3 linked regions of the Diceros bicornis minor genome follow. The protein of the gene in region 3 interacts with the protein of the main gene of each other region in a pairwise test. Links are inferred from orthologs where the notes say so. Each region holds a gene or a part of one and is shown on either strand. Other genes may lie near its edges.

What was found.
Region 1: the proteins of HOMER3 (region 3) and PKN1 interact in binary tests that used the Homo sapiens proteins (3 or more experiments, as listed by UniProt). The two-hybrid records come from large-scale screens. The link is inferred for Diceros bicornis minor from reciprocal best matches to the Homo sapiens genes HOMER3 and PKN1.
Region 2: the proteins of HOMER3 (region 3) and EAF1 interact in binary tests that used the Homo sapiens proteins (3 or more experiments, as listed by UniProt). The two-hybrid records come from large-scale screens. The link is inferred for Diceros bicornis minor from reciprocal best matches to the Homo sapiens genes HOMER3 and EAF1.

What each region holds. Positions count from the first base shown.
Region 1 is NC_080769.1:3,430,170-3,437,205, forward strand, and holds the start of PKN1 (serine/threonine-protein kinase N1), read right to left. Parts: upstream 3,016-7,036; 5' UTR 3,001-3,015; coding exon 2,785-3,000; intron 1,802-2,784; exon of another isoform or gene 1,696-1,801; coding exon of another isoform or gene 1,675-1,695; intron 1,207-1,674; exon of another isoform or gene 702-1,206; coding exon of another isoform or gene 645-701; intron 1-644. UniProt on the Homo sapiens protein: PKC-related serine/threonine-protein kinase involved in various processes such as regulation of the intermediate filaments of the actin cytoskeleton, cell migration, tumor cell invasion and transcription regulation.
Region 2 is NC_080741.1:21,906,357-21,913,891, reverse strand, and holds the start of EAF1 (ELL-associated factor 1), read right to left. Parts: upstream 3,016-7,535; 5' UTR 3,011-3,015; coding exon 2,641-3,010; intron 748-2,640; coding exon 653-747; intron 1-652. Other genes in the region: tRNA N(3)-methylcytidine methyltransferase METTL6, read left to right, coding at 4,041-4,265, 5,274-5,408. UniProt on the Homo sapiens protein: Acts as a transcriptional transactivator of ELL and ELL2 elongation activities.
Region 3 is NC_080759.1:6,480,449-6,488,264, forward strand, and holds the start of HOMER3 (homer protein homolog 3), read right to left. Parts: upstream 3,006-7,816; 5' UTR 2,865-3,005; intron 1,310-2,864; 5' UTR 1,242-1,309; coding exon 1,228-1,241; intron 1,148-1,227; coding exon 991-1,147; intron 744-990; coding exon 612-743; intron 1-611. UniProt on the Homo sapiens protein: Postsynaptic density scaffolding protein. Binds and cross-links cytoplasmic regions of GRM1, GRM5, ITPR1, DNM3, RYR1, RYR2, SHANK1 and SHANK3.

The DNA of each region.
Region 1 (7,036 bases), on a different chromosome or scaffold from region 3:
GCGGAGAGCAGGAGCAGGCTCCCCCGCCCCACCTCTGAGGGGAGGCCTGAAAATACACAGAGCAGGGAGGGAGAGAGGGAGGCCCGGCCTCCTGTGTTCTCTTCTCTTGGGTGACTCACTCCTGCCCAGAGGGCAGGGGTCACCTGAGGGCCAGCAAGGCGAACCCATGAATCAGGGGCCTAGCCCAGCCTTGGAGGATCCCTGCTCCTCCTCTCCCACCACGAAGCAGGAGACTCCAGGTCCAGAGGGCCCACCTCCCAGAATCCCCCTCTTCCCAGAGCGGCCAGGGACCTAGACCCCCACGTCCGGAGATTTCAATGCTTTGGGCGTTTCCGGAATCTGGACAGGATATCCGTTTGCTGGACACAGAACAGATAGGCACACGTCGGGACAGACAGAGGGACAGGGTAGCAGGCCCAAGCAGGCACGAGAAAAAGATGATCAGGAGGGGAGAAGAGAGCAAGCCAGAGATGGGAAAGGGGGCCAGGGTGCGGGTCCAGCCCGGCTCCAGGAATCACAGCCTCGGTCCAGGTCATGTCTCGTACCCACCAAGTGCATGCATGTGCCGGGGGAATCCAGCACAGCACCCCCCAGGGCCGAGGCAGACGCAGGGACCCCGGCCCTCACCAGCCCCAAGGTCTGACCTTGCGTGATCGGCAACACCAGATACGCCCAGCTCCTCGGCAAGGCTGGCAGGCCATCAGCAGGACTGAGGCGGGGGACAGGGGGTCACGGGGGAGACACAGAGGGGGTGGAGGCAGGTGCAGAAGGAGACGAGAACCCAGTTACATGGCAACCACACGACGGAGGGACGGTGAGGCACTATCAGGGGCACTACAGGCACAGGACACGTCTCAGACTGGGGCAATGAACCACAGAAGGTCAGAAGTCACCCTGGCCCTGCTTGTCACAGATGGGGAAGGTGAGTCCAGGGCTGTGATGTCCACGAGATGGCACAGGGAGAGCCTGGCTGGGCGGCAGGTCGGTGACAGTCACCTGTGCCTCTGTGTGTTTGTGTGTGCGTGGGGGTGACCCAGTCCTGTCACCCATGCCCAGGTAGGATGCCAGGTAGCAGAAAATCCCCAGTCTGTTGACCTGGACACTCCCCACCTGGGACAAGGTTCCACCTGGCAGCCCGGAGGATGGCCGTGTGGGTCCTCGTCCCCCGACCTAATGAGGTGACTCGGGCACTTCTGCCAACAGGTGCCAATCTGGTGGCGTCGGGACCACCGTAAAGCTCAGTCCGGAGGTGGGGGCGCTGGAGCTCTGTTGTGCGGGGGAGGGGCACGGGCCGGCGTCCTTCTCCCCTCCCGGGGCCCCGCGCCAGGCACCTGCCCCAGGTGCAGCGGCACCTGCCGGGAACCAGGACCTGGACGCCGGGGAAGGGGGCGAGTGGCGGGGCGACAGGCACGGGACGCACAGCCAGCCGCAGACACCCCAAGTCGAGCCTCCGCGCGCCCCCTCTAATTCCCAGGGAGGGGCGGAGTTTGGGGTGCGGCGGGACCTCCCGCTCCCCCCCGTGCGGACCTCCACCTGCCGCGCAGGGGGCCCCGCGGGCCCCGCCGTGCCCGCCCAGGGAGGGGGCGCCGGGCGCTCGGGAGACCCCGCCCGGGCCCGGGGTCCCGGCAGCGCGCGGGCGGGGGGCCCGGCGCGGGCGGCCGCAGGTGCGCCTACCTGCACGGCATCGCTGGCCATGTCCTCGCGCCTCCCGCCAGGGGTCCCCGCGCGGAGGGAGGGCGCAGGAGCGCGCGTGCGCCGCGCGCGGCGGGGAGGGCGGGCGCGGCTCGAGCCCCCGCGCGGCCCGCTCCGGCCTGCTCGGCTCCGGCCCCGCCTGGCCTGGCCGCCGCGTCCGCGCGCCGCGCCCTCCGGCCCCAGCGGCCGCCGGGCCCGGTCACGTGACCGCGAGGTCGGCGCCCGGGGAGGGGGCGGGGCGAGGGGGCGCGGCTCCCGGCGGCCCCCGGGGCTGCGGGGTCCCGCCTGCAGGGCCCCCCGCCCTGGCCTCTTCCTGCGTCCGCGGGGGTCCCCTGTTTGAGCGCGCGGGAACCCCGAGAGAGGAGTGAGCCACGTTAAGGCGGGGAGCGGCGGAGGCTTTGGGGCCTCCCGGGACCCCTCAAAAAGCAAAAACGACTCACCCCCCGCGTTTGCCAGTTCAGGCGTCCTGGGAAGGACGCATTCACGGCACGGGAGCTTCCCCACTGCCTGGAGACAAGCTCTGGGCAGATCGGGGTTCAAATGCCGGCGCCCCATGCCTTGGGGGAGCCCCAAACCCTACGAGCGCCTCATCTGGGAAACAGGGAGGCTTTTCCCGCCTACCCCTCGGGTGTGGATGAAAGTAAATGAGACTGCACGCAAGTGCTGAGAACACGGTAAGCGCTCGAGAGACGTCAGCTGCTGTCCTTTCTAACGTTATTGTCGTTATGAAAGGGGGTTCGCATCCCAGCTGCGTCGCTGACTCGCGGTGGGCCCTGTGGCTGAGCCGCAGTTCTCCCCGCTGTAAGATGGGGAGCAGCCTCTTCTTCGGGGCTGCTGCATGCAGGCGGCGCTCCATAAATGCAGACTCGTGCCCACGCGGAGGCGGAGGGTGGAGGCCTCCGAGGAGCTTCTCCAGGGTCTCCGGGGCGTGCAGCTGGCTCGTGGCCGACCCCGATCCCTTAGAAACGCGGGGACTGAGCCAAACCGCGGTCCCGGGGCGCAGGGCGGGGAGCGCGCCCTGGCGGCGGCGCCTGCGCACTGGCGCCCTCCAGGGACCCGGCCGCGCGCGCAGGGCTGAGGCACCTTGGTTACCTGCGGCCCTGCGCCCTTTGCGTCGTCCCAGAGACCAGGGCGCGACGTTCTCTCTTTCCCCTCTTCCTTTGGGCGACTCTTCGGAGGGGGGCGGTTAGCAGAGAAAGAGAGAGAAGAAGGGGAGGAGAAATTATGCCGATGCAGAGTCCACCCTCTTCCCACGCCTTCCGCGGCCTCCGCCGGGACCACTCTCCACCGTCGCTCGCCTGGACCCATGCAGGCGCCTCCTCCTAGGTCTTTCGGCTCCTCCCTCGATCTCGCAGTCTGCCTGCCTCACAACAGCCCAAGGGCGCCTGTGAACGCCTGAGTCAGGTCACGCCCCTCCTCTGCTCAGATGCCCCATGGCTCCCACCTTCCTCAGAGTAAAAGCCCAAGTCCTCCCCACAGCCCACAAGGCGCTGCACGATCTGTCCCCTTCACCTGCCCTGTCTCCCCACCTCCCCCCTCGCCCTTGCTCACTCCCTCCAGCCACATCAGCCTCCTGGCTGTTCCTCGAATATTTATCCACTGAATTAAATAACCCTTTGAGCTAATTCTCTCGCTCCCGATTTTTGAGCCTTTTCCTGGGGTTCAGAGAGAAGCCCCTCACCCCAATTATGGAGCCGGGATGTTAATGGCCCTTGCCCGGAGGAACATGGTACCTTCCTCTAATTCTCCAGCCCACCCATTTTACGGATGGGAGGATGTGGCAGAGGAAGGCTCCCAGGTGGCCCAGGGCCTGGGCCACCTTGTCCAGAGACTGGCCTTCTGCTGTCTGCCAGGCTCCAGGCTGCCTCCCCGGATGGAGCTGGGGAACCCTGCCAAATTCTCACTCCAACCTTCCCGCATCCGTTTACTCAGTGAATATTTATCGAGGCCCACTGGGGACTTTGGTGGCACTGGAAACAGAGTCGAGTTTGAAACTTGGAGGCCAAGGACTAATTGTACAATTGTCCAATTTCAATCAAATATGATAACTGCCCCAGCACCTCCCTGCAGCTGCGCTGGCCCCTCTCTAATCCATTCTGGGGCCTTGGAAACCCTAAAGCACAGCCCACCCCCTGCCTCTACCTGCTGGAAGACCTGACCCTGGCTCTCTGGAGCTCTTAGGAAAGACTTCCCACCCCTCACAAGCTGGTCCTGTCAGGCCTCTGCCCACCTGTCCAGCTGCATTTCCCTCTGCTCCCTTCTTCCCCATCCAGCAACGCTGGCCTTCCCTCTGTTCCTCAAGTGTTCTCACCTTACTTCCAACCACAGGGCCTTTGCACTGGCTATTCCTTGGTCTGGAATGCCCCTCCATCACATCTCTCCAAAGTTGGCCTCTTCTGATCATTTAGGTCTCTGTTTAAATGTCATGTCCTCTGAGAGACTTTCCCAGGGAATCCCTATGTTGTGTTGTATCTGGCCCATGGCCCTGTTTTTTTATTTTAAATGTCACTCCTCTCTGAAATTGCCCAGTGTCTGGCCTGTGCTCGCTCCATCTTTGTAGAATGAATGAGTGAACACAGTTTGAGGTGTCAGGAGAAAGGTATCCCAGACCCATGGAGGCCTTGAGGAGGCAGCCGCGCCCCTGTGGAGGAGGCAGAAGGGCTGGCACTGAGGTTGAGTTGTGAAGGACAAATTAGGAATTTGCAAAGTGGATAAAGACGAAAAGGGTGTCTAGTAGAAGGAACAGCAGAAGCAAAGACCTGCAGGTGGGTGAGGGAGAAGCCGGCATGTCCTGATGCCTCTGCTCTCCTCTCCCACCCCACTGCCCTCGCTCACTCCACTCGGGCCACGCGCCCTCCTCGCTGCTCCTCAAATGTGCCGATGCCATTCCCACCTCAAGGCCTTTGCACGGGCTGTTCCCTCTGCTTGCAAGGCTTCTCCTTCTCATCTTGGCATTCTCTCTTCCTTACTTCATTTCCGTCTTTGCTCAGATGTCACCTTCTTAGAGAAGTCTTCCTTGACTGCATCTCCACCTCAAACAAGCGCCCACCCCTCCCTCCCAAAGTCTACCCCTCACATAGTTTGATTTTTCTTTCTTGCAAATTTTAATAAATTTGACTCTACTATTTTTCTTTCTTGTCTGATTCCACCAGAAGGATGTCAGCTCCCTGAGGGCAGGGATCACTGTCTTGTTCACTGCTGGGTCCCCGGCTCCTAGAACAGGATCTAGCATATAGAAGGTGCTCAAGGGCCGGCCCGTGGCTCAGCGGTTAAGTGCGCGCGCTCCGCTGCTGGCGGCCCGGGTTCGGACCCCGGGCGCGCACCAACCACCACTTCTCTGGCCATGCTGAGGCCGGGTCCCACATACAGCAACTAGAAGGATGTGCAACCAGGACATACAACTGTCTACTGGGGCTTTGGGGGGAAAAAAGGAGGAGATTGGCAATAGATGTTAGCTCAGAGCCGGTCTTCCTCAGCAAAAAGAGGAGGATTAGCATGGATGTTAGCTCAGGGCTGATCCTTCTCACCAAAAAAAGAAAAAAAGAAGGTGCTCAATAGAGAGCTGCTGGATGAAGGAACTTGCTGGCGTTCTTACTGCTGATCGCCTGGAGTCGGGGCAGGCTCCAGAGGCTGTGGGTGGTGGGGCTGGAGGGGCCGGGCCCCTCCTGGAGTTCAGGCGTGACCCTGAGGACTGTGGAGCTGCTGACAGATTCTTGGCAGGGGAGGGACTGAATGAGGATTGTGCTTCTCAAAAGATAAGGAAGGCTCTTTGCAAACCAAGTCTCCCCCAGTAGGGGCCAGAGAAAGAGCTGGAAGTAGATTTCTCTGACACCAGAAGAGCTGAATGTATCAACAAGGCTAATCTCCAAAACATTGTGTTGAAGGGAGATAAAACAGCAAGTAGAAAAAATGTCACAGTTTCATACACTTTAGAGCAATTACTAAAAAACAGAAAGTGAAACTATGTATCTAGTTAGCACACCGGTCTGGAGCAGTGGGCTGGTAGTGTGCCTGGCACCCCAGCTGAGGGGGCAGGCCACCTGGGTTCCCATCCTGATGCCCAGGCACACTGACAGGGATACCCTGCGCGAGTCACTTCACTGCCCTGTGCCTCAGTTTCTTCATCTGTAAAACAGGGTGATAGTAGTGGTGCCTACCTCATAGAGTTGCTGGGAGCTTAAATGAAATAATTCTTGTAAAGCATAGAATAGGGGAGCAGTAATTGTTTGGTAGCATTATTTTTATTTAGGATGTTGTTTCTGTAGTGGGGGAGGGGAATGGGGTTGGGGAGGTGAACACAGGTGACTCCCACTTTGTAAAGTGTTATGTCTTTTATTTTTAATTATTATTTTGATGGAGATGTAACTTACACATGGTGAAGTACGCAGATCTTTTGGGGTGTGCTCCATGAACTTTTATATATGTATACACCCCTGCAGCCAGCACCCAGTCCACTCCCCCATGCATAAGTGTTGTGCCCTCTGCAACCTCCTTCTGCAGATTCTATCATCATAGATTAATTTTGTTTGTTCTTGAACTTCATACCATGTGGAATCATTTTATGATTCTTTTTTTTTTTTAATAATTTTATTTATCTTTTCCCCCAAAGCCCCAGCAGATAGCCGCATGTCATAGCTGCACCTCCCTCCAGCCGCTGTACGTGGGACACGGCCCCAGCACGGCCAGAGAAGCGGCGCGTCGGCGCGCACCCGGGACCCGACCCCGGGCCGCCAGCAGCGGAGCGCGCGCACTCAACAGCTAAGCCACGGGGCCGGCCCTTTATGATTCTTTTATGTCCAGATTCTTTCACTCAACATGTTTTGTTTTCTATTGAAATTCACATACCATAAAATTCACTTTTCTTTTTTTTTTTTCTTTTTCTGCTGAGGAAGGTTGTCCCTAAGCTAACATCCGTGCCCATCTTCCTCTATTTTGTATGTGGGGCACCGCCACAGTATGGCTTGATGAGCGGTGTGTATGTCCACGCCCAGGATCCAAACCTGCGAACCCCAGGCTGCCAAAGCGGAGAGCTCGAACTTAACTGCTACGCCACCCGGCCAGCCCCTCACTCTTTTTTGTAAGGGTGCAGTCCAGTGATTTTTAGTATCTTCACAAAGAACACGATGTTTTTGAGATCCATCTGTCATGTTGTGTGCATCAATCTTTTATTGCTTTTCCTTTCTAGTGGTGTTCCACGGTGCGGATGGATCATAGTTTCTTTACCCATTCACTTGTTGATGTACATTTGGGTTGTTTCTGGTTTGGGGCTTTTATGCATAAAGAATGTTCATTGCTTGTATCTTTTTGTGGGCAAAATGTGTTTCATCAACTATTAGATCTCTAC
Region 2 (7,535 bases), on a different chromosome or scaffold from region 3:
ATCCTGCTCCCGCCTGCCTGCCTTCACTCTGGCTTGGCTGCCCCAGATTTCTAAACTGTTGTTGCTATACGTCAACATGGCACCTAGGGCTCTAGGAGCTGCTTGGGGGAAAAGCTACGCACATCTAAAGGAGGGGCTAGGTGTCCTGATAGGAACCTTGGCTACTTTGTAGCAAATGGGGCAAAAGGGAGCTTGCGGAAAATGGCAAAGAATCATTTTTCACTCAAGCACCTGGGAACCATAAATTCCATCTCACCCTATCCCCAAAATTCTTTTTTTCCTTATGTTGGCACTTTGAAATCTAGAAATTTTTAAATAGTGGAAATTCAAATTGCGATAACAGAACACGAGGATTCACTGTGATGCCACATTAAAAACAACAACAACAGGGGCCGGCGCGGTGGCGCAAGTGGTTAAGTGCGGGCACTCCGCTGCGGCGGTCCGGGGTTCGCCGGTTCAGATCCTGGGCGCGCACCGAGGCACCGCTTGTCAAGCCATGCCGTGGCGGCGTCCCATATAAAGTGGAGGAAGAGGGGCACGGATGTTAGCTCAGGGTCAGTCTTCCTCAGAAAAAAAGAGGAGGATTGGCATCAGGTGTTAGCTCAGGGCTGATCTTCCTCACAAAACAACAACAACGAAGGAATAAACTTACAGGGATATGTGGCAGCGTAATTGTCACTTCATCTCCTTTGCCAACCTGAAGCTCTCCTTCACAGGAAGTGTCTATAGATGCTGGTTTAAAGTCATCTGAAGAGAAAGGAATAAAAGCATTTATTTACCAGGTTACTTATACTAAGGGCTTCCTGGGCATACTCACTTTAAGAGTTAAAATTTTTTTATTACTCAGGTAAATGGAAAGTACTAATAATTTAGAATTTATTACAAACTATTGCATTGTGCAGAACTTCACATATGCAAAAGCAGAGAGAAGAGTACAATGAGCCCCTGTGTACCATCACCCAGCTTCAATAATTACCAACTCAGGGACAATCTTATTTCATCTATACCTCCACATACTTTTCCTCCATCCTCACTGGATTCTTTTGAAGGAAAAAAAAAGCTAAAATTTATATACCATTTTATTAAGCAAAGACATTCTCCTCTCCCAAGTGATAGATGAAAATTGATGCCTTATTATCCATAATAAGGTGTTTTATTAGGGTTGTTGTGAGGATCAAAAGAAACTGAGCATATCAAAAGGATTCTGTAATAGTAAAACCCTATATGAAATATGAAAGGCCACAGCATCATATAAGTGACTTCATTTTGCACAGAAGTGTCAAAGTTAGGATTTGCCACAGTCAAGTTCCATAGCTTTAACAAATGCTACGTCCTGCAGATGTCTGGAGCAGACAGTTGAACTGTATCTCCAAGGGTTAAATCCTGCCCATGTTGCTGAATTGCAGTTAAAGTACAACATGAATAGCCATCTTACTCCATTTTAACACACACCTGCCTCAAACTGAAGGCCAGGTGCATATGTGAAGTCTCATTTAAATTCCACATTGCCCTTTACCCTACTAAAACATCAACTTAGTAAACTGCTCAGGAGATGATGCTCTTATCACATTCCCAACATCCTCCCTCTTAAAGAGCTGATCTGCTGTCAGTAAGAAGCAAAGTAATGGCGTGGCAAGTGACCATACAAAGATGGAACTTCATTATCTAACACGCCCTCTTCCAAGGTGTTGAGTCACATCTATTAGCTCCTTTGACTAAAACAAGTCTCACCCAGCATTACAGCTACCAAGACGGGGAAGCAAGAGCTTGTGAATCACAGACGGATGCTCAGTCAGCCAATTCCTAACAGCCAAGTCTTTACCCAGGACAGAGTGGAAGTGCCCTCCCTCAACAGTCTCTAATCATGTAGAAAAAGAAGGTTCAGCGTAATGACTAGCTTGACATTCCTTACGCGTGCTCTCTTCTGCCTCCAAACATAGAGCAAGCTTTAACTTACTCTAGGCTCACAAATTCTAATTTTATTCTTCACACAAGAGACTTGGTCCAGAGGAAAAGTCAGGGTAGTACAGGCGACCTCAAAAGAGGCAGGGAACGCAGACGGAGGAGGACTGCTGGGCGCAGAGAGGATGCCGACTCTGGCTGCAGAGGGGATGCAGCGCAGGGTCAGGGTGGCCAGAACTAAGACGCACGAGGAAGGAAAGCTGAGGCAAATGGCAAGGAGAGAATGGAATAGGAGGAAGTGGATGAGGCTCACGAGCAAACAGGAGTCCTTTACATGTGGAGAACCCTGGTGGGTAATCCGAACGCGGAGAGGATCAGAGAGAGAAGAACTTGAGTCTGATGCGGGGTCACAGGCTTCCGGTAATAAAGAGGGGGAAGGTTGGGCACAAGGAAGGCCTGGGTGGGGGGATGAAGAGAAAGGGGCCAATGACCCTCGGAAAAAGCGTTTGGGACCACGAGGCAGAAGAGGTGTTGGGAGAGACGAAGGGTTTGGTTTGGGAGGAGAAAGCTAGAAAAAAAGGGAGAAAACCGAGGTCCCGGAGGAGCCGGGGTCGGGAGCAGGGAGCCGACGCGGGCAGGGGTCCCTGGGCTCCGACGGGCCGAGGGCAGAGAGGAGGGAGCGAGGCTGGCAGAGGCGGCCGGAGCGGGGGCAGGGAACGGCGGGGCGCGCAGACTTACAGCGGATGGTGTGGAAGGAGGCCCGCGGCCGCTTCTCGAAGCTCTCCCCGAGCAGCAGGCAGTGCTCCTCGCGGTCCAGCAGCGGGTTCGCGGTCCCGTTCATGGCCCCGCACCCGCCTCGCGCCCGCACCGGCGCTCCCCAGGCGCGGCCGCGGCCCGAGCTTCCGGCGCCGGCGTCCGGCAGGACGGTGCTCCCGGGACACCGCTCCGGAGCGTAAGGGGAGCCGAGCCGGCGCCCACCCGGGGCCGGAAGCCAGCCGGTCCCTCCGCGTCGGGGTGGGAGAAGACTCTGAGGAAGCGAGGCGGCGGTACTTCCGGCGCCGGGGAGGGACTTCTGGGTTCGTAGCGGAAGTGGCGGGGGCGGTGCCATGACAACAGAATCCAGCCCGAGACTCTCAGGTCGAGGGTCTCAAGGCTGGCTGTCCCGGGTCGGGGGTTTCCCGCGGCGGCCCCCCCGGCTCGGCGTCCGAGGCCGGGGCGGGCTGAGGCTGAGTGCGCCCGGCCCTGCCCTCTGGGTGAAGCTGGGAACTGATGACGGTGAGCCCGGAGCGCGGCGGAGCAGACCAGCGCGGGGCCGAGAGCCGGGACGGCCGGCTCTCCGCAGGCCCCGGCGGCCCGGGCGGCCCAGTCTATCCCCAGTGTCCTAAGACGGTGGATTCTTGGGACTCTACGCCCGCGTCGCTGGGTCTCTTTCTCCCCTTCGCGCCGTGCCGGCGCTGCGAGGGCTCAGTCCCTGGAAAGCGACGCCCCGTCTGGTTCGCGCGAGCCCCCTGTGGGTGCGATCAGGGGCTCCGACCCCCGGGGCTCCGCTCCATCTTCCCAGGAAAAAAGGAGTCTCCCAGCCTTGGGAAACGATGACCCACTTGTGTTTGGCAGGCGACCACCCGCCTCCGGTTCAGGCAGCTGTTGTGGTTGTTAAGCCACCCCTTTCACGAAAATTGATGAGTCTTTTCTCCCCAAGATTTCTCAGTCAACTCTTGGGAGTGTCCTTTTTCTAAACGAAACCGATTTCTTCTAATAGTTGACTCAAGCTGGCTTGAATTAGAGTTTGGTCCCTGATTGTTCTGGCCGCTGCATGTAAACCCTCTGAAAGCAGGGACCGTGTCTGGGCCCTCTTTGTGACCTCTCCTTGTATAGCGGGCAGAGTTTGGTGTAGAGTCAGCATGTAGTGAGTGTTGGGCGAGTTGAACTGTTTGGTGAAAGAACTGGTCTAGAACCACTAACCAGAATCTCGTTCTTTTTCCTGGAAGGACGTGATGCTGCCTGAGGCGTGAACGCAACCTGGGGAACCGAATTCGAGAAAACCCTGCTTGTGTCTGCAGTATCAACTTGGACTCCTCCGGTTGTTCAGGGATGGAGAATCTTCAGCAGCGTTGACTGTATTACTGTCAACGTATGAGATGGCTTCTTCGCAAAAGAAAGGGCTGCAGGCAAGGATCCTCAGTTCTGAAGAAGAGGAGAAACTGAAAAGAGACCAAGCTTTAGTGTCTGATTTTAAACAACAAAAACTGGAAAAAGAGGCTCAGAAGAACTGGGACCTTTTTTACAAAAGAAATAGTACTAATTTCTTCAAAGATAGACACTGGACCACCAGAGAGTTTGAGGAGCTCAGATCATGTAGAGAGGTAAGCCAATATTACGTCTTATTTGCTGTTCTTCATTTAAAATGTGTGTTAGAGAGGTGCTTTATTGCTTTCCTATGGGGAGTGTAAAGTAGAGAATTTATGAAGCCTGTCGAAATGCTTTGTACCTTAGAGAGAAATATACTGTGTGGTCTCAAGTATTGTTAGCGGTTCCTGGGTTGTTAATACATCGGAGACAGAACTTTAGTGGGCATTTTCCATTTCTTTAAAATCTAATCTGAGCCAGCCCTGACAGCATAGTGGTTCAAGTTCGATGCACTCTTTGGCGCCCCAGGTTCCGTTCTCTGGAGCGCAGACCTAACACCACCCATCTGTCAGTAGCCATGCTGACAGATGGATTACTAGAATAGAACTAGAAGGATTTACAACTAGAATATACAACTATGTACTGGGGCTTTGGGGAGGGGAAAACAAAAAAAAAGAGGAAGATTGGCAACAGATGTTAGTTCAGGGCGAATCTTTCCCAGCAAAAAACAAAACTTCTCAAAATCTAATCTGCAAGCTGTAAATAGTAATTCATACTGAGTGACTTCAGTGACAGATTCAGATTCATAACAATAAGATGATGAGGAACACTTTACCATGGCCCTTTTCTAGAACTTTACATGTGTTCTGTAATTTAAGCCTTATAATAGCACTGAAGTAGGCATTGGTATTATCCCCACTTGAGAGGAAATTGAGGCGCAAAGCTGTTTAAGTGATTTGTCCAGCGTTAGGGGTGGTGCGTGGGGAGGAGTTGGGATTTGAGTGAAGGCAGTTTTGCCCCAGAGCCAGTGCTGTTAGCTGTTATGCTGTTTTCTCCATACCACACTGCTGAATGTTGGACAATAGATGAAGTATCAGTATTAACTTTTGGTTGTTAGTTCAGTTGTTTGTTCTCCGCTCCCTGAGGGCAGAGACCTTGTCTCTCATGTTCTTAACCTTTTAGTTTGGTTTGTTTCTTCCTTAGGCAAATGTAGTATACTGAAACTTTGGATTCTCTTTCCTCAGTTTGAAGATCAAAAATTGACTATGCTTGAAGCTGGCTGTGGGGTTGGGAACTGTTTATTCCCACTTTTGGAAGAAGATCCGAATATCTTTGCCTATGCCTGTGATTTTTCTCCAAGAGCAGTTGAATATGTTAAGGTGGGTGCACCATCCATGTTTTCTGTTATGTTTCTATTTTCTTGGATTTGTTTGACCTGCCCTCTTTACCCATTTGCCCAGTTCCAGTCCTCTCCCTGAAGCTAACCAGCTATGATCACCATGAATATAGTTTTCCTGTTTACATACGTATAGTACATATAGAAATACAGCTTTATTCAGGAAAGTGGAAAGAAATACCATAACAACACCCATACACTTATACCCAGATTTAATGATTGCCAGCATTTTGCCACATTTGTTCTACAGACTTGTTTCTTTGCTGAACTATTTTAAATTACAGATGTCAAGATGCTTCACTCCTAAATATGTCTGCATACATCTTCAAAAAAATAAGAACTTTTTCTACATCACCACAATACACTTATCATATCTAACCAAAGTAACTCTAATCCCCTGATGTCATTAATATCCAGTCCAGATTCAGATTTCCCAAAGTAGTCCCAGGTGTCTTTTATAGCTGTATTTAATCAAGGACTACATCTTACACTTCATTGTGTACCTTAAATCTCCTCAGCCTAAAACATTCCTTCCCTACCCCTTGATCTTTCCCCCACTGACTTTGAGTTTTTGGAGAGCAAGCCATCTTCTATAATGAGGTCCCACATTCCAATTTGGTCTGATTGTTTCTTTGTATCATTGTTTAACTTGTTCCTCTATCCTCTGTACTTCCTGAAAAGTAGAAGTTAGATTTAAATCAGTTGAAATATTTTTGGCAAAAATACTTTAATAAATGATGTTGTGTCTTCCATATTACATTCTGTCAGGAGGCAATAATGTCTGGTGATCTTACTGTAAGTGGTGCTAATTTTGATCACTGGGTTAAGGTAATAACTACCTAATTCCTTCCTTGTACAAATATTTCCCTTTTGCCATTAGCAAATATGTGGGGGACACTTTGGCAACGTGCAAATATTTAGTTTTCTATCAACTTTTTGCAGTTTTAACATCCATTAGACTTTTTTTTTTAGTAGTAGTGTCACATTGTACTATAACTTTCTTCACTCTGTATTATATCTCACAGAGTTTTTCCATCTTAGCACATGTAGGTCTACCACATTTTATTTACCTGCTGTGGTGCACCATATAATGGATATACCATACTTTAACAATTACCCTGTTGATACTTGTGTAAATCATTGCTAATTTTTTGCTCTTACAATTAGGGTTAGTGTAATTAGCATCATACACATGCTCCCCAAAACATATGTATACACTTCTGTATGGCGAATAATAGAAGAAGTAGAATTCTTTGGAGAAAGAGCATACACATTTAAATTTTAATAGATAGTCAAGTTTCCTTCCAGAAAGTTATACCAATTTGTAATTTCATCAATTATGTAAAGATACCTCTTTTTCTATGCCCTCAACGTTTTGATACCAGTCTTTTTTATATCTCTCAAACCTATGGACAAAAAATAATGTCTCCATATTTTAATTTGTTTATTCCTTATAACCAGTGATGTTGAAGACTGTAATATGTAAATAAGCATTGGTTTTTCTTCCGCTTGTGAGTTCCTTTATTCCACGTATATTTATCAAGAGCCTAATATGTGCCAGTCACTGTTCTGAGCCCTGGGGTTAAGTAGTGAATAAAACAGACAAAAACTCCCACTCATGTGGAACTTATATTATAGTAGGAATTGTCTGTTCATAACTGTTGTCCATTTTTCTGTCATTTTTTTTCTAATTTTTAGGATATATTCTGCATATTCTGTTATATTTGTTGCAAATGTTTCTTCCAGTTTATTCAGCGTTGTTTTATGGTATTGTTGTATGACAGGATTTGATTATGTCACATTTGTCTATCTATTCCTTTTGAGATGCTGAGGCTTTATGTCTTGTTTAGAAGTTCAATAGTCACCTATTTTTTTTTTTTTATAATTTGGTTATTTTTTTTAATTAATCTGGAAAAGTTTTCGTCATTATTTCTTCAAATATTTCTTCAGCTCTTGTTCTCCTTTCTCCTTCTGGGATTCCAATTATGTGTATGTTATACCATTTGCTATTGTCCCACAGCTCTTGGATGCTGGGTTTTGGTTTCTGTTTTTTAACTTTTTTTTCTCCTTGCATGTTCAGTTTGTATAATTTCTGTTGTCCTACCGTCAA
Region 3 (7,816 bases):
AAATAAATTTCCTTCCTTTGAAAATAATTTTTTAAAGAAAATATGTACAGACATCCAGCCACTTGATTTGTGCAGAGGCCCGTGCAAATCATTGGGGGGAAATGGTCTTTTCAAAAAACAGTCCAAGAGCAACTGAATACTCACATGGAAAAAATATTCCTATCTTATACCACCCACAGAAATTAATTCAAGACCTAAATGTGAAAAGAAAACAAGCTTCTAGAAGAAAAGAGAAGAAAATCATCACGATCTCAGCAGGACTCAGGGGCGCTAGCCATACAGGAAGACAATGGATAAGACGAGACTGAAGTCTTGAGAGGACGCGGGGTGGAGGGAGGCGATGACGAAGGGAGTGCTGGGGTGTGTGGGGAAGCGCCCAGCCCATCCCAGGCACCCAGAGAGGGCAGGGTGTTTGCAAAATCGGAGCAGGCGGCCAGCAGAGCTGAGACGCGAACCAGGGAACCAGGAGGGGCTTCTGACTTGTCCAATTCTGTACGCCCATTCTGCAGGTGGGAAGACGGAGGCCCAGCACCTTTCCAGGGTCCCCAGGGCACCCAGGAGAAGACCCAGGCGCAGCCCTGTCCCTCCCCCCGCATAACCCCAAGACCCACCTGGGTCAGATGTTGCTCAGAAGCAAAGCCCAGGCCGTAGACAGTGTTGGCACGACTGTCTGCCCACTGCCCAAACTTCTGGGAGGTTTTGGTAAAGGTCATGTTGGGGGTGACAGTGCTGTTGATGATGGCCTGGGAAGGGGGGAGCAGAGTTCAAGGTTGGTGGGACTGGTAACAATGGACATGAAACCCCCACCACCACCCGGCTATCACTTTGTATTAGCACCGCGGAGGTCCTTGCTCTGAACTATTTCAGGATGAAGGGAAGAGGCCCAGAAAGGGTTAGGGCTCCTCCAGGCACAGAGCAAGGCATCGACCAGACCCAGGCCTGTCACTCGGACCCCTGGCACCTGCCGCCCCACCCAGGCCCCGCAGGGACCTTGGCACCCCCGATGCTGATGATTCGGTAGACGTTGCGGGTGGCATCATAGAAGTAGGAGACGGTGAGCGCGTGCTTGCCCGCTGGGATCCAGTTCCGCTTGGTGGCCGGGTCGATCTGGAACACATGCGCCCGTGTGCTGAAGATGGGCTGCTCCCTGCACGGGGAGAGGGTGCTCAGTGGGGCTGGGCGCCGCCCAGGGGGCTCAGGGCCAAGCAGGTGGAGATGGGGGCTCACCTGGCTGTGGACATTGGTCAGGTTGAGCTGGGCGGGCTCCAAGAGGCAGCCAGGGGGATGGCAGAAGCTGCTGGCTCCACCTCTGGAGGGAGAGGGGGCCTGTGAGTGTCCCCCACAGGCCAGGCTGAGGGAGGCCAAGCAGGTCCAACCTCAGGACCCACCACCAGGAGCACCATTCACAGAACTTCAATCAAAAAGGTGAAGGACTCAGTAGATCACTCAGAACCAAAAAACCGGTCTCTCTCCATCTGGAGGAAGCCCCCACAACACCCTGGGCAGGAGACGGCTCTCTGAGACGAGCTGGGGCCCCTGACATCCCAGTGTAAACCTCTCACCGGCCCAGTCACTGGACCCCAGTGAAGCCCCCTCAGTCTCAGAGCTGGGCTGAGGAGGCCAAGGCCAACTCCCGCGCAGTACTTTCTGCCACATTCACCCATCACTCCCCAAACCAGGGCACCATCAAAAAGTGGGGCACAGCCAGGGGCCTACTGGGAAACCAGTCTCCCACTGGGCTCAGAGAGAGACCTGAGCTTCCACTCTGGGGCAGAGGCACACCTTAGAGACAAGGTCCAATGCTCAGGAAGCCTCCAGCTTCGTTAAAAAGACAAGATGTAACCAAAAAGGTCCACCCTGCTGCCTACCGCCAGACCTCCCATGCCACTCAATCCCGACACCATGGGGGGCCGGGCGGGATCCAGATCCTGGAGGGACCTGGGGGAGGGGGAGGCAAAGCGGGGGGGAAGGGAGGCCCCGGCACAGCCCTGTCCTGGGCAGCTGCTGTCCCGGTCACAGGGTCTGAAACCCGAGCCCCTAGGTGGAGGAGGGGCGGCAGCTTCGGCGGGGTTGGGGGTGGGTCCTGGGTTGGGGCAGGGCTCCCGGCGCCGGGGTCCCAGGAACTCAGGCCCTTCCGGCACCGACGCTTCTGCCGCGACCTGCGGCGTTGGCGTTCGGGGAAAGTTACTCACCAGCTAGTCATGCGCCTCGGCCGCGGGGCTCCCGGAGGGGGCCCGACCCTGCCCGGTGCCGGGGAGCCCCAATCGCGTGCGGGGGCGAAGCCCCACCCCATGCGCCCCAGTGCCGGGGGCCTGACAGTCAGTCAGGATCGAGTCCCCACCGCCGTCAGGAGCGGGGCGCCCCGCGCGCGCCCCAACTTCGGGAGGCGCGGCTCCTGACCCCGGAACTTCTGAGACCCCCGCGACGCACCCCGACTCCAGGTCCAGAACTTCGGGGGCACATTATCTGCCTCCTCCAACTCCAGGTCCAGAACTTCGAGGACCCTCCGCGCCGCCCCCGACTCCTAAAGTTCGGGGACCTTCTGCCACCCTTCCATCTCCAGGTGGGGAATTCCGGGGTCCCCTCGTGCCGCCCCCACACCCACGGTTCGGAACTTAGGAGACACCTTCGCAGCCTCCTCCAACGCCCGGTCCGAAACTTTGGGAAGCCCTCGCACAGTCCCTTCCCGACCCCGACTCCGGAACTTCGGGGCCCCGGCGCCCCCTCAAGCCCTGGAACTTCGGGGCTCCCCGAGCCGCCCCCAGCCTCCAGGTCCGGAACTTCGGGGACCCCCGGAGCCCTCCCCCGGCCCGGGAACTTCGGGGGCCCCGCGCCCCCGCGCAGGCTCGGCGGGCCCGGCTCACCCTGCCGGCTCGGCGCCTCGCGAGTGTCCGGGAGCGAGTCGGGTGCGACCCCGCGGCGCCGACTCCCCGCTGCCCGGCGCCCCGCTCGCTCGCTGGCTCCGGGGCCCGCGCCCTCCGCGCCGCCCTCCGCGCCGCCGCCCGCGCCTTTGTCTGCGCCGCCGCCGCCGCCCGCGCCGCCTCCGGTCCCATCGCGGCGGGTCCGACGCGGCCGCCGCCCGCCCCGCCTCCCCGGGCCCCGAGGCCGCCCCGCAGCGCCCCCTGCCGGCCCTCCGCGGCGCGGGGGAGGGGGTTCAGGGTGGGGAAGGATAGGGTGGGGAAGAAGGATGGGGTGGGGGTGGGGGCAGAGACACAGGAGACGACAGACAGACAGACAGAGATGGACAGTGGGGAATGTGGCTTCGTTCTCTCGTCAAGGGTGACCCCGACACTCCAGGTCACTGCTGCCTTCTGCCCCTGATGGGAGTCAGGTCCCTGTCCACCTGAGGGGCGTGCAGGGACAGAGGCACATCTGCCACTTTGGTGGGTGCAGGGCCTGCACACAGTAGGTGCTCAGTGCATGTTGCCAGGAAATGAGAGAGACCTGGGCAGAGAGGGGGCGGGAAGAGGCTGAGAGAAGCAACCAGTAGACACTTAATGGGGCTTGATCTTGGGTGCCCTGCTCAGAATCCTTCTTGCCTGCCCTCCCGCCCAGCCCTGATCCCCCAGGCTCAGGCTTCTGTCTGCCTCTCTCTCCCCTGAGACCACTGTAGCAATGCTAGTGATGGTTAGATTACGATGACTATCGCTGTATCCCAGGGTCCCAGAATCCAGGGCGGAGGGAAGGTGGGTGTCCAGTTCCCACCGAATGGGTGAATCCCCTGGAGGTCTGCGGGCCTGGGTTTCCACCTCTGGTTGGAGGAGCCCAGCCCTCATACATTTGCCAGGAGAGGCTCTTTCTGCAGCTGAGCCGGAATCGGCCTCCCCAGGCCCCAGCCTGCCTGTGGGGCCCACTTAGTCGCGAGGCTGCCCTTTCTCCGGAGATTCCTCTGGGGCCACACAGAGTCGTCTGCTTGGTGGGCAGCGCACGGGGCTCCTCAGAACCGGCCCGCAGTTCCCTGAAGCTCTGAGCCTCAGGTCTGAGCTTTCCAACACCCTTAGGGGTTTTGCTCTTCATCTGCTCTGCCCCTGTCCCCTTTCCCTGTTCTTTTATTTCTGTTCCTCCTGACAAGAACCACACATCTGAGCTAGGAGCTGCCTTCATATTCCCGTTAGGGAATTCCAGGTCCTGGTGTTTCTGGAGACTTATTCCCAGGCCAAGGTCTGAATTTTGCTCCCTCCAGGCCTTTGCCCAAGCTGTCTCCTCCCCATGGAGTGCTCTTTCCACAGGCATGTATTCTTCCTTTCCTTCCAGGCTCAGCTCCGCTGCCCCCTCTCCTCCTGGAAGCTTCTCTGACTCTCCCAGGCTTGGAAGGGATCTCACCCTCCCCTACTCACAACCCCATCCCTTTCTGTGGGATCCCTGGTCTGTGTTACCTGGTTATTACTTCTGGGTACTCCTGGAGGGCCAACCCGTCCTGGAGCCCCAGCCTCACCCGGCACGAGAGGGACTGCTTACCCCAGCTGGGGAAACTGAGGCACAGACTCAGTTTCCCCAGCTGCTTCTAAGTTCACAAGGCATCTGCACAGACAAAGGATTTGGCTTCGCTCTCAGGCCCAAAGCCACAAAATGCTTGAACATTGTGGGGAACAAAGAAAATACCGTCTGTTCTGTGCAAAGAGTGACTTTTCCTTATTACCAAAAAAATAACCAAAAAAAAAAGTAACTGGAAAGGTGCCGGCAGGGTCGAGGCTTCTGGAAGCCACTCAGGATGTGCTGAGTGCTGGCCGGCTGCAGAGCTGGGGCCACGTGGCCATTCTCTGGGGGTGGCTAGGCCAGGGGCCCGGGCAGACTTTCCTGCGTATGTGGGCAGAAGGCAACAGCATGAGGGAGAGTAGGGCCCCCTCTCAGACCTCTGGGAGTGGCTGGGACAGGGCTAGCCTTGAGCAGCCCTGACCTGAAGTTGTCGTAGTCAAGTCCAGACTGAAGGAACGGCTTTATCAGTGTGGATCTCAGTTTTCTTGCCCGGACAATGGTCTGATGCTTGCAGGGCTGGGGGTGGGGGAGGAGGCAGGGAGGAGCCAGGCAACAGCAGCAGCTCCTCACTGTCCCCTGGGTATCGATGGGTGGGGGCTGCCCTGAGCTGCAGCCCCCTGCAGCCTGAGCCCTCTGCTGCCTGGGGATGTCCTTGCAGGGTGGCAGAGGCCATCACCACAGGGTGGCTGGCTAGAAGCAACAGCGTTCACTTGGGGCTGAGGAAGGCATGAGGGAAGGAGCTCCCTGTCACAGGAGGGACCAAACAGGGACTGGAACAGCTTGCTCTGCTCTAGGGAAGCTGCCCTTGCAGAGTGGCTCTTAGGGGTCAAGCTCTGTCCTCTGCCTACTTCAATCTGACCCAACCTTTGGACTAAAGCTAAATCGTCTGTCCTCTCTGGGGAGCTGCTGTCCCACCAAATCAGGGTAAGTCTGTCACTCTTCCCAAAGCCACCTGCCCAACGATGTGGCACAGGTCACAGTGGCCGCTTAGACCTGTTGTGTGTGATTTGGTTACTGTCCACCTCTTCCACGGCTCAGCACCTAGAGCAAGTCTGACCTACAGCAGGAACTCTGTAAATGCTTCCAGAAGGCGAGGAGCCCTAGGCCCCAGCCTTGGTTTTTGGTGGTCCAGAGTCACATGAGCCAGGGAGTGAATCCTAGCCTTGCCTCTTACCAGCAGTGTGACCTTAAGGAAGCCACTTTCCCTCTCTGTGCCTTAGTTTCCCCATCTATAAAATGGGAATAAGAATGGTGCCCACTTCTGAGGTTTGCTGTAAGGATCCAAGGAGTCCTTGCGTGAAGAGGCGTGACTCTAGGAGCTTAATAAATGCTTGCCATTATAAACATTGTATTTATTCTTGGCTGTCCAGCATGTGGTATTGATCCTGGGCCGAGTTCTTAAGATTTTCTCTTTTAGGAGTTGAAGGGTCCCAGCCAGGCATGAACTCTTGAGGACAGAAATGGGTCCAACCTGGCATGATATCCTCTAAATCTTTAGCTCTGAGGCGCTTGTGCCCCTCCAGCCATCTTCCTCCTCTTTCTCCCCCTTCCCCCAGCATCGTCAGTTGGGCCAGCCACCAGACCTTGTCCTCTTGGAAAACTCCTATTTATCCCTCAAAGCCCTACCTCCAATGCCCTCTTCTCCAAAAAGCCCTCCCTCCTCTCCCTCTGGACTCTTCCCAACACCCTCCTTCCTTCTGGCCAAACCCTGACCCCAAAGGCCTGGTGGCGTCTGTGTTCAGCTCTGACCCCCAGCCTGAGGGCACCTGGAAGTGTGCAGGCACTGAGGAAGCCTGGCTTCCCTCGGGCTTGGCATCTCCCAGCATTGGATGGACACATTGGGGTCATGGCAGAGGAGAGTTCGATGACTCAATACTGGTGAGTTTTTATCATTTGACAGGGACCCCACCTTAAATTTAGATCCAACCCAAGGCCAGGTTTAATTCATTAAACAAACAGCTCCCAGGAAGTGACAGAGCCAGGCCCCTCAGGCCCAGGCATGAAGGGGCTAGGGGAGGGTTTGGCTCTGGGTTATGGACTTGAGCTCCCAGGACCAGGGCGGGTTGGGGGTGGGGGAGGCCATCCTCGAGCCCCCTCCAAACTCCGGACCTGGATCTGCGGTTCGGTTCCCACAGACCTAATTACCCTCATTTGCCACATGCACTAATTACCTGCACCGTGCCAGGTGGCTGGGCGGGGCTGGCCCACTTTGGGGAGGTAGGTCGGAGCCCGATTATTTTTGGCTATGTCGTCCTTGAGGGCTCTGCCATCTGCCTGCGTGAAGGGCAGAAAGTGGGGCAAAAGAATTGCGGCCACATCAGGAGGGACGCTGGGAGACTTGGGGGTCAGTCGGGTTGGCCCAGGAGCTCCCTGAGCAGGGAGACTTGAGCCCGAGGCCTGAGGGTCTTTGGCACCCACCTGGAGGCAGCAAGACCTGGAGGGGCTGAGAATCATCTAGCTCCACGGTGGACTGGTCTGGAGGCCTGTTTTAAACGTGGCACCATTGGTGGGAGAGGGCCAGGGTGCAAACCTCACTCCCACCAACTTGATGCATGTTCCTGGACACGTGACCTTCTCTTTTTGCACCTTTCCTGAGGGATCAAATGAAGATAATAACTTACAAAGAGTGCTCTGGGCAGAGGGCACAGCATGTGCAAAGGCCCTGAGGCAAGGATGGGCTGGGTGTTTTGGAGGAACAGCAGGGAGGCCAGGATAGCCAGAGCAGAGTGAGTGGGAAGAGAGTAGGGGGCACTGAGGGCTAAGGGAGTCACAGGAGCCAGGTTGGACCTCATGGGCAGTGGTGAGGTGTGTAGGCTTTGTTCTGAGTTAGGATTCACCTCTCTAGGTGCTGGGGAGCTATGGGAGAGTTTGGAGCCAGAGAGAGAGGGAAGTGATCAGCTTTACACTTCAGGCTCCAGGCCAGGGTTTCAGCTCTTGGGAGAGAACTAGATGTCTGTACATGTGCAGAATGGGGATAGACTCTCCCTTTCTCTGAACCTCAGTTTCCCCATCTCGGGTAGAGGCCTGAGGCTTGGACAGCCCCAGGACACACTGGACCCTCTGCCCAGGATGCTCCCCTCTGCCCAAACTCCCAGATTCTGGCCCAGCAGCCTACATGGCCTCCCCTTCACCTGCCCTCTCCTCCTACTCTCCTTCTGGGGCCTTGACGGAACAGCTGTGGGAACAGAGAGCGGGAGGCCTCAGGGAAGGCGGCACGGAGGGGCTCCGGGGGCCGTGTTCCTGCTTGCTGGCGGCCCACACAGGGCCGCTGGGTGCCGAATGTTCCTGCAGGAACCGGCTGACTCAGATGCTGCAGTCTCCTCCCTCGGTCTGCTGAGGG